Bombyx mori: one gene and its partners. The protein of the gene in region 2 purifies or fractionates together with the protein of the main gene of each other region. This does not show direct contact. Links are inferred from orthologs where the notes say so. Each region holds a gene or a part of one and is shown on either strand. Other genes may lie near its edges.

What was found. Proteins that work in one complex are often made in the same cells at the same time.
Region 1: the proteins of transcription initiation factor TFIID subunit 9 (region 2) and Taf1 purify together in Drosophila melanogaster (affinity purification with western blotting; 3 studies listed by BioGRID, with this or other methods). This does not show direct contact. The link is inferred for Bombyx mori from reciprocal best matches to the Drosophila melanogaster genes Taf9 and Taf1.
Region 3: the proteins of transcription initiation factor TFIID subunit 9 (region 2) and transcriptional adapter 2B purify together in Drosophila melanogaster (affinity purification with western blotting; 4 studies listed by BioGRID, with this or other methods). This does not show direct contact. The link is inferred for Bombyx mori from reciprocal best matches to the Drosophila melanogaster genes Taf9 and Ada2b.

Annotation. Positions count from the first base shown.
Region 1 is NC_085123.1:8,778,277-8,783,122, forward strand, and holds the start of Taf1 (transcription initiation factor TFIID subunit 1), read right to left. Parts: upstream 3,109-4,846; 5' UTR 2,954-3,108; coding exon 2,734-2,953; intron 1,542-2,733; coding exon 1,474-1,541; intron 1,334-1,473; coding exon 1,104-1,333; intron 854-1,103; coding exon 739-853; intron 631-738; coding exon 449-630; intron 339-448; coding exon 167-338; intron 1-166. UniProt on the Drosophila melanogaster protein: TFIID is a multimeric protein complex that plays a central role in mediating promoter responses to various activators and repressors. Largest component and core scaffold of the complex.
Region 2 is NC_085109.1:1,356,839-1,361,109, forward strand, and holds transcription initiation factor TFIID subunit 9, read right to left. Parts: upstream 2,858-4,271; 5' UTR 2,662-2,857; coding exon 2,294-2,661; intron 1,721-2,293; coding exon 1,498-1,720; intron 1,125-1,497; coding exon 1,005-1,124; 3' UTR 935-1,004; downstream 1-934. UniProt on the Drosophila melanogaster protein: TFIID is a multimeric protein complex that plays a central role in mediating promoter responses to various activators and repressors.
Region 3 is NC_085131.1:6,658,473-6,663,355, forward strand, and holds the start of transcriptional adapter 2B, read right to left. Parts: upstream 3,109-4,883; 5' UTR 3,003-3,108; coding exon 2,892-3,002; intron 2,797-2,891; coding exon 2,737-2,796; intron 2,660-2,736; coding exon 2,518-2,659; intron 1,781-2,517; exon of another isoform or gene 1,170-1,780; coding exon 952-1,169; exon of another isoform or gene 880-951; coding exon 807-879; exon of another isoform or gene 484-806; coding exon 330-483; exon of another isoform or gene 1-329. Other genes in the region: WD repeat-containing protein 37, read left to right, coding at 4,503-4,680. UniProt on the Drosophila melanogaster protein: Component of several Gcn5-containing histone acetyltransferase complexes that regulate nucleosome organization; involved in acetylation of histone H3, particularly on Lys-10 (H3K9ac) and Lys-15 (H3K14ac).

The DNA of each region.
Region 1 (4,846 bases), on a different chromosome or scaffold from region 2:
TTGGCACTTATCTACGGGATTTTAACAGCGGCATATTTGCAGGGCTATGGCCTATTGACATATAGCGCTAGATTAATACACCGGGCGTCTCATCCATTAAGACGAAGACGATTTAAAGTATAATTTTATTAATATATTTAGAAAAATACATGATGTTGTTCCATACCTTTAATTTGAATCCGTAGTCAAACCCATCACCTGTCTCTGGTACATTCAACATATCATACCAAACTTGAGCAGGACCAAAACGCCAGTGGGCCGGTGTTGGCCTTTGTGCTTTGTCTCCTGAGCCTAATCCCTTATCGTCATTAGACATCTGTTGATTTTCTTCCATAGGCCTAAAATAAGTGTTATTAAATTTATTTTTAAATCATTAATTTAAGGATACATACATAAGAGAGTAAGCTATTGATAAAGAAAATGCTGTTTTAATCTTCAGTATATTTACTTGAGAAGTTTCTCTTCATCGTCACTTGCATATTGAGGTTCCTGACTGTCTGGAACCATCGGTGGTGTGTCACTGCCTGTACTTCCACTGCGCTTTCGACGTCTACGTTTTTTAACACCGCGCCATATTTGCGGTAAGCTGGACAGTTTTCCAGGTCCAAAAAGTCGAGAGAAAAGAAGTACCTACATGAATATTTATCAAATAAAATTTCATGAAAACAGCAAATAAATAACATTTATTAGCTTGAGAATTCAGCTCTTGTTAATATTTAAAAACAACATATTACTCACTCTATCTGGTCTGAAATCCGGAAACAGTTCTGTGACATCAACATTGGCATATTTAGATGGAAGCATTGCAGCCAATGGAGTATCTAGTTTTTTGGGTTTTTCTTGTTTGGGGGGTCTGTAAAACAATTAATTTTCATTTTATTTTAATGTCATATTGTATTTCTGTATTTACCAATATCTACTAAATTAAATTTTGATTACGAAATAGGCAACATATTGGTACTTACATATAAGCCATTAATTTGGTTACATTATATCATACTATTAGCAATTATGCAATTTGTGTTGTCATAAAATGAAATTCTCTATCTAATTGGGTGAATCTGTTCCCTTTTCATTCATAAGTTGGAAAAGAATATACTAACGGAACTGTCGAAGGAGGGGGCATAAGTCCACCATCACCTTCCATATCACCTTCATAGCCATCATCATTGGTACTCTGTACCTCTTGTTCTCCTGCAATATCAGTGTCCCTCCAAGTATCTTCTTTTAATTCCTCTTTAATACTCTGTGAATCAATAATCACAGGAACATTGCTGCTATGCACAGTTTGTACATCTGAAGTATTTTCAAATTTTATCACATTATTTTCTACCTGTAACACCAACATAAATTTATTTCAGAGCTAGTGATTAGTTTTAAAATAATGGTAGGTGTTTAGATAGAATAGATAGCTGTTTAATAGATTAAATACTATGCAATATTATAAGTTGGTTTGTGAAATCAAAAACATACTTTTATATCCTCTGCTGCATCTTCAATGTCAAAAAAGTCCACAGCCGATGGACTTTTCTCATTATAGTCTGATGAAATAAAATAAAGAATTAGATGTTTACCATTGCTGCAATTAATAATGTCTTCAGTTTAAAAGTTAAGTTAAAATTTCAGTTGACATAAGAAAATGTGAGATTAAACCTTAACAGTAGTTTGAACCATACTAAAAGAAACTACTATCTTCTAAGTTTCCTGACTTGGATTTCACTGTTGACTATGTATGATTTATGACTGAAGTTTGCTTACTCACTGCTAATCTATGTGCATATTCTCATCATAAGTGCATATTTCTCATAATACCATTGGTTATCCAATTCAAAACTTTTATATCAGCTACTTAAAGGTAAGGCAAAGGTTCTGCATATTTTTACTAGAAAATAAGCAAGCATTCCATTTCAAGAGTAGGTGATTTCGGCATTTGGGACTTCAAACTGATTTGCCATGTGATGTCTATGTGCATGTTACCATTTAAAAAATGTGCTAATTTACACTAATGAAAAGGTTTCTTAATATCTAATATAGGTTTGAAATATAAAAATCAACAACTATTTGTTTACTATTTTACTTTTTTTTATTTGGCTTTCATTCAATTACCAATACAGCTGTGCACAACCCATTTACTTTTTATATAAGAGTGACGGAGACCCATTTACAGCAGTGGGACAAAATATAGGCCATATTATTTCCTAAGGTTTATACAGTAATAATTTCGACACGAAACTAAATTCAAACTTAGTATAGTGGTTTAGAAGTGAAAACATACAAATAGAGCTAGGTACTTACATACTAATTATAAATTATATATAATTTCGAAAATAATTAAATGACAATAACATTTTTTGCAACATTCTTCTGTAATGAAGCAAAGCCTACTTTCTGCAGCAAGATATTCTGTCTCACTAGTACCTACAAAATCTACATGAAAATCAGGTCAGTACTTCGAGATTTGTGTAAACAGAATGAATAAAATGTGAAAATCCCCAGTTGATATTCTACGACTTCTTTTTAGCTTTACCCCTTTAATTTTATTCATTTAAGGTCCGTAGTGACAATTACAAACACATATTCTAAAGTATTATTACATTTACTGGTTTACTTTCAAGGCATGTTTATTCAAATGTAGTCAAAATTTAGACAAATTTAGTCAAATGTGTCGTCAAATGTAGTAACACACTCAACATCGACAATGCAGAGTCGAAATTGATAAAAAAAAACACTAACCTTTTTCTTCCTCTTCTTTAACTGGTTCCTCAACCTCCAGGACTTCAGAGAGCATAGACCCTAAACCTAAGCGGCTAAGCGATGATAACATTCGCTTCGATTCACCATCTAGCAATCCATCATCTTCTAACTGACCCCTTTCGTCAATATTACCAAACAAGAACCCGGTCAGATCCAAGCCTGAACGGCTGTGGTCACCTTGTTCGTCACTATCACACATGGTTCGAAGAAGTACAATACAATTACATTTCCAAGTTCATAATATTAGTTTAATTAAGATATGTATAATGTTTAATAAGGCTACTCAAGTTGCATTGCAATTTTTTTGTTTCAAATGGTATTATTCTTTATTTATGAGTGTTTGCTGTTTGCCTCGTAGATTTTGACATAGATTTTGAGTTGACATTAAGTTAACAGTAGTAGAAGTTCTATTTTTCTAACTGTAATGGCAAAGGTATCAAACCATAACGACTAATTGTTTATTTCCTTTTCTTATGAAAAATGATAATACAGAATGAAATAAAAAACAAAGTTGATTAATTTGAAACATTAATCAATTGGTATGAAATTAAATTAAATGAGATGAGATAACATAGGATGAAGTATAATCTCAGTAAAATGGTGGATAATAATTATTGAAACTTTTTCAGTGGACATTTTGGAAGATCCCGAAAAGCTACGTCCATCGGCTTTGTTTCATTTTCCCACATTTGTGCACTTTTACAGATACTAAAAGGTTAATAAGCCACCGTTATTACAGATTTAAACCTGAAGAAACACTAAATAGACAAAATAAAACAATTCACACAACTTCGCTTCTCGCGTTCCCGTCAAAAAGTCGAGACAACTATAAACTCCAGTATCAAAAATGTTTGATTGATTCACTAAATTGGCAAAAAAATTAATACTCATAACAATAATTTATTAATTATTATAATTTAAAAAAATAAGCCGACACCAATGTTCCTTGCCCAGTAAAAAAGTTTAGGTATAAAATGAAATTAAGGAATAAAATTGAATGTTTTGTGGAATTAAGTAAGTGAGATGGAATAAAGTAATAAATTTTTGGAAGAGCTCGAAAACCACATCTTAGACTTTTATAGAAACAATACGATTAAGAACCTACATAATCATCTGCCTTTATCTCTCCACTGCTGGATGTACGCCTCCCCATAGTCTGCCATAATGAACGGTCCTCCGCCTTCCGCATCCAATCTTCTCCAGCATATCACCGTAAGTCTTCGGTTCACAGGGAAGCGGGACGTTCAGCACTGCGCTTCCGGGTATGTGGTATCGGGTATCGGTCATTGGGTCTGCGATACGTATATCCGGCCTATTGCCACGTCAGCTTTGCTAATCTTTAGGGCTATACCGGTTACTTTGGTTCTTCGACGGATTTCCTCATTTCTGACTCGATCCATGAAAGAAACTCCGAGCATATCCCTTTCCATAACATGCTGTGTGACTTTGAACTTACGAGTCAGACCTACGGTCAATGTCCACGTTTGAGCGCCATATTATGTCATGACCGTTAGCACGCAATCGTTGAAGACTTTCATCTTTAGGCTTTGCTGGTTTGCTGAGTTAAAGATATGACAGAGCTTTCCATACGCAGCCCAGCCCAACTGTACGCGCCTATCAGCTTCCTTCTCGAAGTTGGCCCTGCCTAGATAAAAAATTTGGCCAAGATGGTGTATTCAGACACAACTTCGAGTGCCGCGGATTCGACAGAGAAAGAAGAAATAATATTTAATAATAAACCGAAAGAAATAATAAACAACCACATAAAATAAAATATCTCGCGTTCTTATCATTGCTGTTTCAATTAATTTCTTTAATTCTATTGCTCAATACAGTTCATAATTTAATATAAGGTAAGAGGCGAGTAGCAAGTTCGCAAGCAGGCTACTAGAAAAAAAGCAAAGTACACTACGTAGGTACCGTCAAGCTGACAAAACAAAAAATCAGCATCTATATACAAAATAGTTGTAATAATTATGTGTCATTTAATTTTAACACAGATTTACATATTTGAAGCAACTATTAATGGAGCTTAGATGATTTTATTTTACGCTCGTAATAAAATTATACAATGTTTTTTCCTCCGAAATAA
Region 2 (4,271 bases):
AGGAATGGCTTATTTGGAGCCGACGAGCGACAATCCGCTGGCTGAGCTCTTCTTGCAATAGGGCTACGATTTGTGCTACTTCTGTAGGTGTTGTCCCAATTGTCGTACAAGGTAAAGAGTCAAAAGTAGCCGAGATATGTACCAGTCAACGTGTGAAAGTCGACTGATAAAGAAAATCCGATAACAGGTGCTTTTATAGGGGTCAGTAGGCCGCAACTCGCGACGTATCAAGCAATTGAAACACGTCTTTTTCGTTATTCCTTCACTTAATCCAAGATAACTTCTTAAATACTGGCTTGATTTTAATGAATTTGGTATCAGTTTAAAGTTAGGAATTCAACCTTTAAAATGATCTCATTTTTATGATTATCAAAAAAATATTTAGTACACAAGATCGCGCGGAATCAATTTCAAGTAAGTGATTCCAAACTTTTGCTCGCGAGTGTAGTAGATGACAAGTTCTGTGAATGCATTTTTATCTTACCTACTCTATTTTAATGCCTTCTTAAATGTATGTTAAATCACTGTAGATATCCTGTTCTCATCTAGAAAACTACAACACATAATATCAAATTCAATTCAAAATTTGCACGGCAGCCAAGCTATACGGTCGCAAATTAAAAAGAATCTAGTTGTGCATCAAAACGGTATGAGTTCACCTCCAGATCTTACTTAAATTATAGGGCACAGTCAGACAGTGACTCTTTTAATCTCAGATTCTCTTACTTAAATCTTTCTGTTATTATATTATCTTTAGAACTTTTGGCAAGCTATTTCATTGAAATATGATTCACTTAAAAAAAACAGGAAAAATTCAATTTTTTTGTTGTTTCTACCTACAGTAATAATTAAAATACCCTTAGTCATATAAACCATACAATCTGAGCAATTTGCATCATCAGGTTTTATGGAATTAATCACTAAACAAACAGGATTAAACACATGATACTTTTTAATATCAAAATGTTGATTCCAGGCAGAAAGATCGTGATCCTATTAATTATTTATAGATCATAATCGTCGTCTTCTCTTTTCCGTTTGTGGCTCATTGGCTCGTCTGTCTCCATCTTGATAGGAGCCTGTGAGGAAGGACCAGCTGTCACTCTTACAGCTGGTTTTACTACCTGCAATATAATTCATTGACATTTAAATATTGTGCTAACTATGAAATGTCAGAAATAATGTAAAGCAAATAAAAAATGAAAGATTAAAATTAGTTTTAATTTATAATGTAGATTTCAATACATAATCAGATATAATAAAAAAAAATTGTGACGCAATTTTGATATTATCAAATATAAGTTGACATTTAATTAGACAAAATAGATATTTCGTTTTGTTTATATCATAATATAGATTATCAGTTTTCAACATTTCAAATTATTGTTAGGAAATAAAGAAACCACTTTTTAATAGTTCAATCTGTGATGAATATGATAAAGCATAGTGCTGTCTATTTATCTATTCTATAATTTTAAAATTAAACCAAATTCTTACTTTACTGCTTGATGAAAATTTCAGTACAGGTTTTGTTCCGAGACTGGTTTTTGGGGTGCCCACATTCACAATTGCTCCCGGTGGTCTCTTCATAACAACTGTCTGTTGAGGTGCTTTGGATGTGGTGACCGTTTTTATGGACGGGGAAGGGGTTATCGTAGTTTTTGTGATCACTTTCTTGGTTGCTGGTTTCAGTTTGTAATTACAGGATGACAGGCAGTAACTGGAAAAATGAATATTCTCTGTAAACATGCAGCGATTTACAAGTTAACCATATTAAAAGGCTCTGGGTGTTAAGGGAATCTCATGTTTCACACAAAATTAATCAAAATTATTCCATAATTTCCTTTGTTAGCGGAATTGGTCCATAGTGTATTTCTATTCATCATTTTTACTATTATACCAGGCTCCCAAATGCAACCATTGGTGTTTATGGAGTATTCTGACATTATTTCAGTAAGGTTTGAAGACTTCTTAGTAACAGGCAGTATTGAAGTATCAGTAACTACTTACAAATTGTAATAAGACAATCTGTCACCTAAAGATATTGTTTACAAGAAGACTTTACTGAACTTTGATTGTGAACACAATATTGTTGCAATCAATTCATGGTGCGCAAATTACATACGTGTGGTCTAAAGTGGAGTATTTTTCCCTCAAGTCCGGTGATTGAACCTTGAGCTATTTAAGCTAATCCTGATTTTTGAAGAAATTATCTAAGTCCATACTCACGAAAGATTAATATAATGTGCTGTGAGATATAGGATTAAAGTGTGCTACATTTTCCAATACTTACCGATCCGGAGGCAGTCTTAACCCGCAATGCGGCTTTATCAACGGCAAAGGATTAACATTCTTGACCCTCGCGATCTCCAGTAGCACTTCACGGGGCGGGGGATTCGTGAAGGACTTGTCCAATTGCATTTGAGCTGACAGTCTCACATCATCAAGATCTATAGTTTTCTTTTTTGCGTGGTTTGCAAATATCCTTGCATCATCTAATACTGATGTAACGTAGCGGTATGTGAATTCTAGGAGCTGGTTCACGACTCTCGGTTCATAGTCAGTGATACCTACTTCCTTCATGATGGACATGATGACTTGGGCATCTTTGGGAATGTGCTTAGCTTGACCACCCGATTTGGATTTGTCTTTCTCTGACATCTTGTAGTTTTATTTGTTATTTTAATTTTAGACCGAATTATTTCTGATTTGTTTAAAAATCTTTTTCTTAGTCATAGTATTGGCATACTTTATTTTGGTAACAATGCTATAAAAACAACACTTGTGCTGTGATTGTGACAGATCTATGTTGTTTGATGACGATTGTCAAGTCAATTCAAACTGTCAGTGTCAGCCATTCTGAGCCATTGACATCTTCATTTCAGAACACATTTAAAAGTATATCTCTCTATGGTTGTTGTCAGAACTTGGAAACAAACAAAAAACTGGTGCGCGTATAAAACTTGGTGCACGTGAAAGAAGTGAAACTTCAATTTATCTCGAGAAATAAGATTAACTTAGAAAGAAGTTGTTACCAGTATTCGATGATTACCGAACGAGTCCTTTGGTTTTACAATAATAATATGTTTAGTGATAATTACTTTTATTTAAAATACCGCCTTCTGTAAATAATTTAGAAACTAAACTGTTCACACCGATGGTCTTGCAATGTAGTAGTTAAACGAAATCCAATAGATGTCACTAAATTAAAAAACGACCTAACTCGCTTTGCCCTTTCCCTCTCTCCACGGTTGAGTGGTTCACAAGACGCCCTACCTATTTTCTTACTCTCGCTCTTCCTAAATTGTATCTTTTCTCTCTAGCCGTAACGAATCTGTCGCGAGTTAAATTTCACTCTCAACGCGCCTAAAGAAGTTTTACTTCAAAAAATATATAATGAATTCCTTTTTTCTTATTTATTTCGTTCATCAAACAGCTGTACAGTTAGTTAACAAAACTAACTAAGTAGCTGGTTTCAATATCTCTACTTTCAATACCTTTATCTTTAAACAAATGTAAACGCTTATCCCGCACTGTCTTACGAAAAAAATATTACCTAGATATTAAATTTCCTTTTATGCATTTACATTCAAAACAGAAATCATTTTTCTTATTTATTTATCTTAATTAAAGTACTCAAAATAAAAAGATATATGTATGTATATTATTTTTCGGCAATATTGTAACAAAATGAAAAACTGGTTTGTATTATTTGGTTCATTTAATTTTAGGATTTTCTTAGATTTAGAGAATATTAATATTCATTTATCAACCGTCTATAAACTGTGAATTGAAAAATAAATTAGAATAGATATCCATAATCTGGTTTTTTTCTGCCGCAAAACAGTCAAGCGTTCCCGTTTGATGTTTCTTTGTTCTGTTGGAATTTAAGCAATTGCTTGCCTTTCGACAAGTTACACAAAAAAGTTAGATATCCACTTAATAACAGTCTGGCAGGTTTTTTTACTAAGATAGCCAGTTCTGATTAGCGCCATGTTCAGTTTATTCATTCATTCATGAGACAGTATCTTGGAAGTAGGACTATTTTAACGATGGTGAATCAACAAGAATTGTTTCTAAAGTCACTGAAGGTTGACATGGATTTTGAAGGGTATTAAATAAATAAAACATACAACTATAATAACCATTTCGATTTATTCAGTTAAAATATGAAATAACTTACGTGTACAGTAAAAATAAGTATTTTCAGATATCAATCCAATTGTTAAGTGGGTCGCTTCGGACGCTGACACGTCGCAGCACGGCGATAC
Region 3 (4,883 bases), on a different chromosome or scaffold from region 2:
ATAACGGAACTTCCGTAAAAACCCCTGTAGATTTATATATTTGTATAGATATAGAGAAGGAGTGCAGAATTTTAATATACTTATTTTTAAATTATGCATCAAAATACATTAAATCAATAAAAATAAAAACATTACACACACACACGAATGCATATTATTTGTTTATTGTCAAACTTTTCTTTTTGCTTATAGTCTGTGGTCAAATTGAGAATAGATTAAATATTGTTTGTCTTTTTTAATATTTGTCTAAATTGTGTCAAAACACGAAAATCATAACATATCTATATACTACACATTTGAAATACTTCAAAAATATTATTGGTACATACTTTTTTTCTTTGGCAAGTTTTCCTAGGGTCTTCTGTTTATTCCTCTGATTGTTGAAGAAGACAGACACTAACTGGAAATCTCTAACTAATCTTTTTCGTCTCGTTCTCTCTCTCAGTCTTCTGATGTATATATCAACTTGTGATAGCTTTAGTGCTATAAAAAATAAAAAAAACGGGATATGTCATTTTTTATTTATTATATATATCTTATATGTATTTAACTAAGCTATGAGACGTTTTAAAATCATAAAATAGATATACAGATCTTATAAAGCTTTTAGTCTAGCCTGTTCATAATATGTATCAAATAAGAGACGTCTCAGAGTGAATAATTCATATGTAAATTTCAAGCTCAAGGTCGGCAGTCTATCAGTCATTATTATGATTTTTTTAAAAGGATATTATTATATTAAAAACCACATATTTTATCAACCAAAAACCACTTATCTATTGAATATATATCTATATATAACCTACCAACATCTAATTCATCATCTTCTGGATTTAATGATAATGTTGAGATCAACTGCTCTGCCTCATGATCATGTTCCTGAAATTTCGACACTTTGTAGAACAATATTTTAATTTATTATAGTAAATAGTACAAAAAATTCATTCTTACTCTTTCAAAATCATCTCTATTTGGCATATACCCAAGTTGTGCTGCTTCGTCTACTGTTATAGCTAGGTTTGGTAGTCGAGACACTGCAGTTGGACCAAGTGGGCCATCATCTTTATCTGCACAATGTAGTGATGGGCGAGATGTACTTTCAATATTGCCCCATGTTGCTTTGCCTATGGTGCCTTCCAGGTACCTAGTAATGTATTCATCTTTTGCTTCTGTAATTGAAATTTATGTTTATTTGTTATTATTATTTATTTGTCTTTCTTATAACAATGATGTAAATGAAAGGATTTGATTCGAGCCCTACACCCCAGCAGAGGGTAATAGGAAAGAACGATGATTATGATTATTATTTATTTTTATTATTATATTTAATTAATAAATTTATATATAGTATGATAATTCTTTGGTAATCTTTCTAAAGTTCAGCACTACTGTACCACTGCCACCATGTGAAGCAGAACCTCCTTTGCTCTACCTATAGTCGCAGTTCAGTATATTTGTTTACAATGCTTCCATCGCTGTTACAGGTTTAGGAAGGAGTTTAGAAGAGTGCAGAGGTCTTAAAGAATCTGAGATTGACATGGTCAGTCCTTTTGCGGTGTCAATTTTTAGAAGTATTCTCAACAGATTTAAATAATTACTTCTCACCCTATTTATTATTTTTAGTACTGGTGTTAAATCGTTGATTTGAACTTATGGGATGATTTATTTCCAAATTATTCTTTTTTACTTGTGAAAATAAAGGATATGCATCATGTAAATTTAATCCCAACAAAATTTATTTAATGTAAATGTTTAATATATATTTCTTATTCTTGTTTAATATATATTTTGAGCTTCCATAGCCCATGAAAAAATCCTGTCTTAACATTGCATGTGGTGAGTTTATATACATTATTGAATGGTTGTGACCATGCTGTCACCATTAAATATGCAAAGTTACTATATCAAGGGAGTAAAAGGCTATTCGGTTTAAATGACATTTTTGACAACTTTACAGGAAGGCCATTCAAAGCTTAAAAATTGGAAAAAATATCATAACCAAAAAACGTCTTCAGCTATTTGAATGGAGTAAACGTAAATTGAAATTCAACTAAAAACATCGAACTGTTGATACCAAGTATACCTTTAATTACTAAGGTAATGTACGTTATACCAAATAGCATTTCACCCCTCGATATTATAAAACTGAGACTTAGTAATCATGCCTAAAGGTGGCTAGTAACATTTACGTAGTTGAAATCTCTTGAATCCCGTAACCACCTAACAACAACAGGTAGACGGTAAGCACGTCTACCCAAATATAAAAGCTGAAGCTTTAAAAAAAATTGAAATTCGAAATATTCACCATATTTTATTCAACAATGTTTTTTCGTTGCAGAAGCTATTTTTGAAAATTGTTATTGCATTTAGATAAAAAGTTACAAATAATAGTATGCATATACTAGGTATTCTTTGCCAAGGCATGCAATGTATGCTGTTTGATGCCAATGTTGAAAAATGAACCGAAGCACAGTGCTAAGACAGCAGATTACTGAGTAGCTTATATCATTAAATTACCTTCAGGAGTTCTTGTTTCAATATGTTTTGCTATATCCTCCCAGTTACCAAAGCCGAATTGTTCTATGGCATCTAATAATCTTACTTCTTCGTTAGCTGACCAGCTACTACGTCCTAAAAATATTCCAAAAGCCCCAGAGTCCTGGAAAAATAGAACACTCTTGAAAATCTATTTACTTTCTGTAATAGTATTACAGTAGTCGTTTATAAAGTGCTTACCACAAACTGATATGAATGATCGTTTTTGTGCTGTCCGATTTCAGCACCAAGAGAAAAACACTGAAAATGCATTTTATTGCATATTAATTTCTAAGTGACAATTTTAAATTTTGCGCCAAAACTATCAACAAAAATGGCAGTATCAACTACTTTACCTGCAAACAAATATCAAAATCAACACATTCAGTACATTTAACTCTTACGCCGTTTATTTCCTCTTGACAATATGTACAATTATATTTAGCGTAAAGATCTGAAAATGACATGATTTTTATTACAGTGAAAACAAACTTTAAACTTGTACGTTGGCAGGCTTCAGATTAGCGCACAAATTTCCAAAGCCATTTTACGTTTTTTATTCCCAAACATTTTGAGTTACCAGAGTAATAAAACATATTTTGTAAAATATTTTATTTCCTAAAACTTAACTACGCATTCTAACATGTTGAATAGATTTGAATCTACTATGTATTTGAAAATTAATTTGGTAGCGCAAGATTGGAGTAACACTACCCTATCCGGTCATCGGCGAGAAAATTAACCCACAGACACAGTTCACCGAGTTTCTCGCCGGATCTTCACAGTGGGTCGCGTTTCCGATCCGGTAGTAGATTCTGCGAAGCACTGCTCTTGCTAGGGTTAGTGTTAGCAAAATCGTCAGGTTTGAGCCCCGTGAGCTCACCTACTTGTTAGGTTTGACTGACATAGCCTCTCAAGGCTATCGGCTTAGGTAGAAAAAAAAACTACCCTATCGCTTCCCGTTGTTGTCACAAAATACAACTAAGAAAACTGAACAATGAACGATGCACAGAAATAATAAACCAATATAGGTCTTGCGATCGACAAGAGGCTTATATTAGTGTATTTCTTCCATGAAACCATCATGCATTCTAGTTTGAAGTGTGAGACAGTTTTTACAGTTACAGTTTACAGACAGTTCGACAAAATCAAAATCCTGTTTTGTTTGTAATTTAATGCTCTCATTTAGAAAACCGTATTACTGTGTGAAAAAGATTTTTAACGTTAAGCTAAGACGCATCATTCCTGTCGAATGTCTGATAAGACGTATTTTTACTACAATATCTCTTCCTAACGCAAGTATAGAAAAGGACGGTGATATTAAAATTCACGATGTACAGTATAATTTGCAAATTAATAGTCGAACTTACCAGGCAACCATAGACGTAAAATATAGACCTAAGCTAAATTTGAACCAGGAAACTGTTACTAGTCTTACAAATAGTGATAATTCCAATGAAATTCGTTAATTTCTAGTTTAAAAGCAGCTCTCTTATAATACTGCATATTAATCTGTGATAGTAACATGCTCCTTATGAGCGTTGCTGTAAGTGGTAAAAAGAAAACTACTACTTAATGGAACATGTAAATCCAAAATAATTTCTAACTAGTCTGTAGCTCCAAAACCTTACTACAGATTTGACCTAAAGGTTGTAAATACCAGGTCTGAAATCCCAAAAAAAAAACTTACTACAGATTATATTCTGTTGTATATGACAGCGAAATGTTTTTAATTCAAGTTTTCTCAAATCTTGCTTGAGCGTAGACAGAGAATCTATACATAAATGAATACAAAATTAAACTTTATTGTTACAACACAACAGCAAGGCATCTAAATATCTCGGTACCTTTAAAACTTAAAATTTGTGGTTCAACCTAGTAAATCTACAAATTATAGTAAAGTTGTGCTTAACATGTGCTACGTAACATAAGAAAGCGGATTACAGCTGAACATTCTGCTTTCAACCATGAAATCCAGTAAGCGCCGACTCCAAGCTTTAACTGAAGGTACCGACGGAATGCCGAACTATCTCAAAATGGAAGATTCAGAAACTTCAATTCCACCAGTATTCCGATCTCGTTTGCACGAGCTATTTTCTCAAATAGAAAAGGAGTTCGATCTTCTTTATACGGAAAATTTGAACTGTAAGTAGCAAACATATATAGAATATATTCGTTAAATGTGTTGTGAACTGATGCTCAAAACCATCATATGTAACCGTTTACATTGGGAAGCAGATTGATATTATATTTATTGAAACCATAGGGCTTAGTGAGGGCTGATAAAATGTCTTGTGAATAAATAACTAAGATCAGCAAATAATTCTGAAAAAGATATCTGCAAGTTA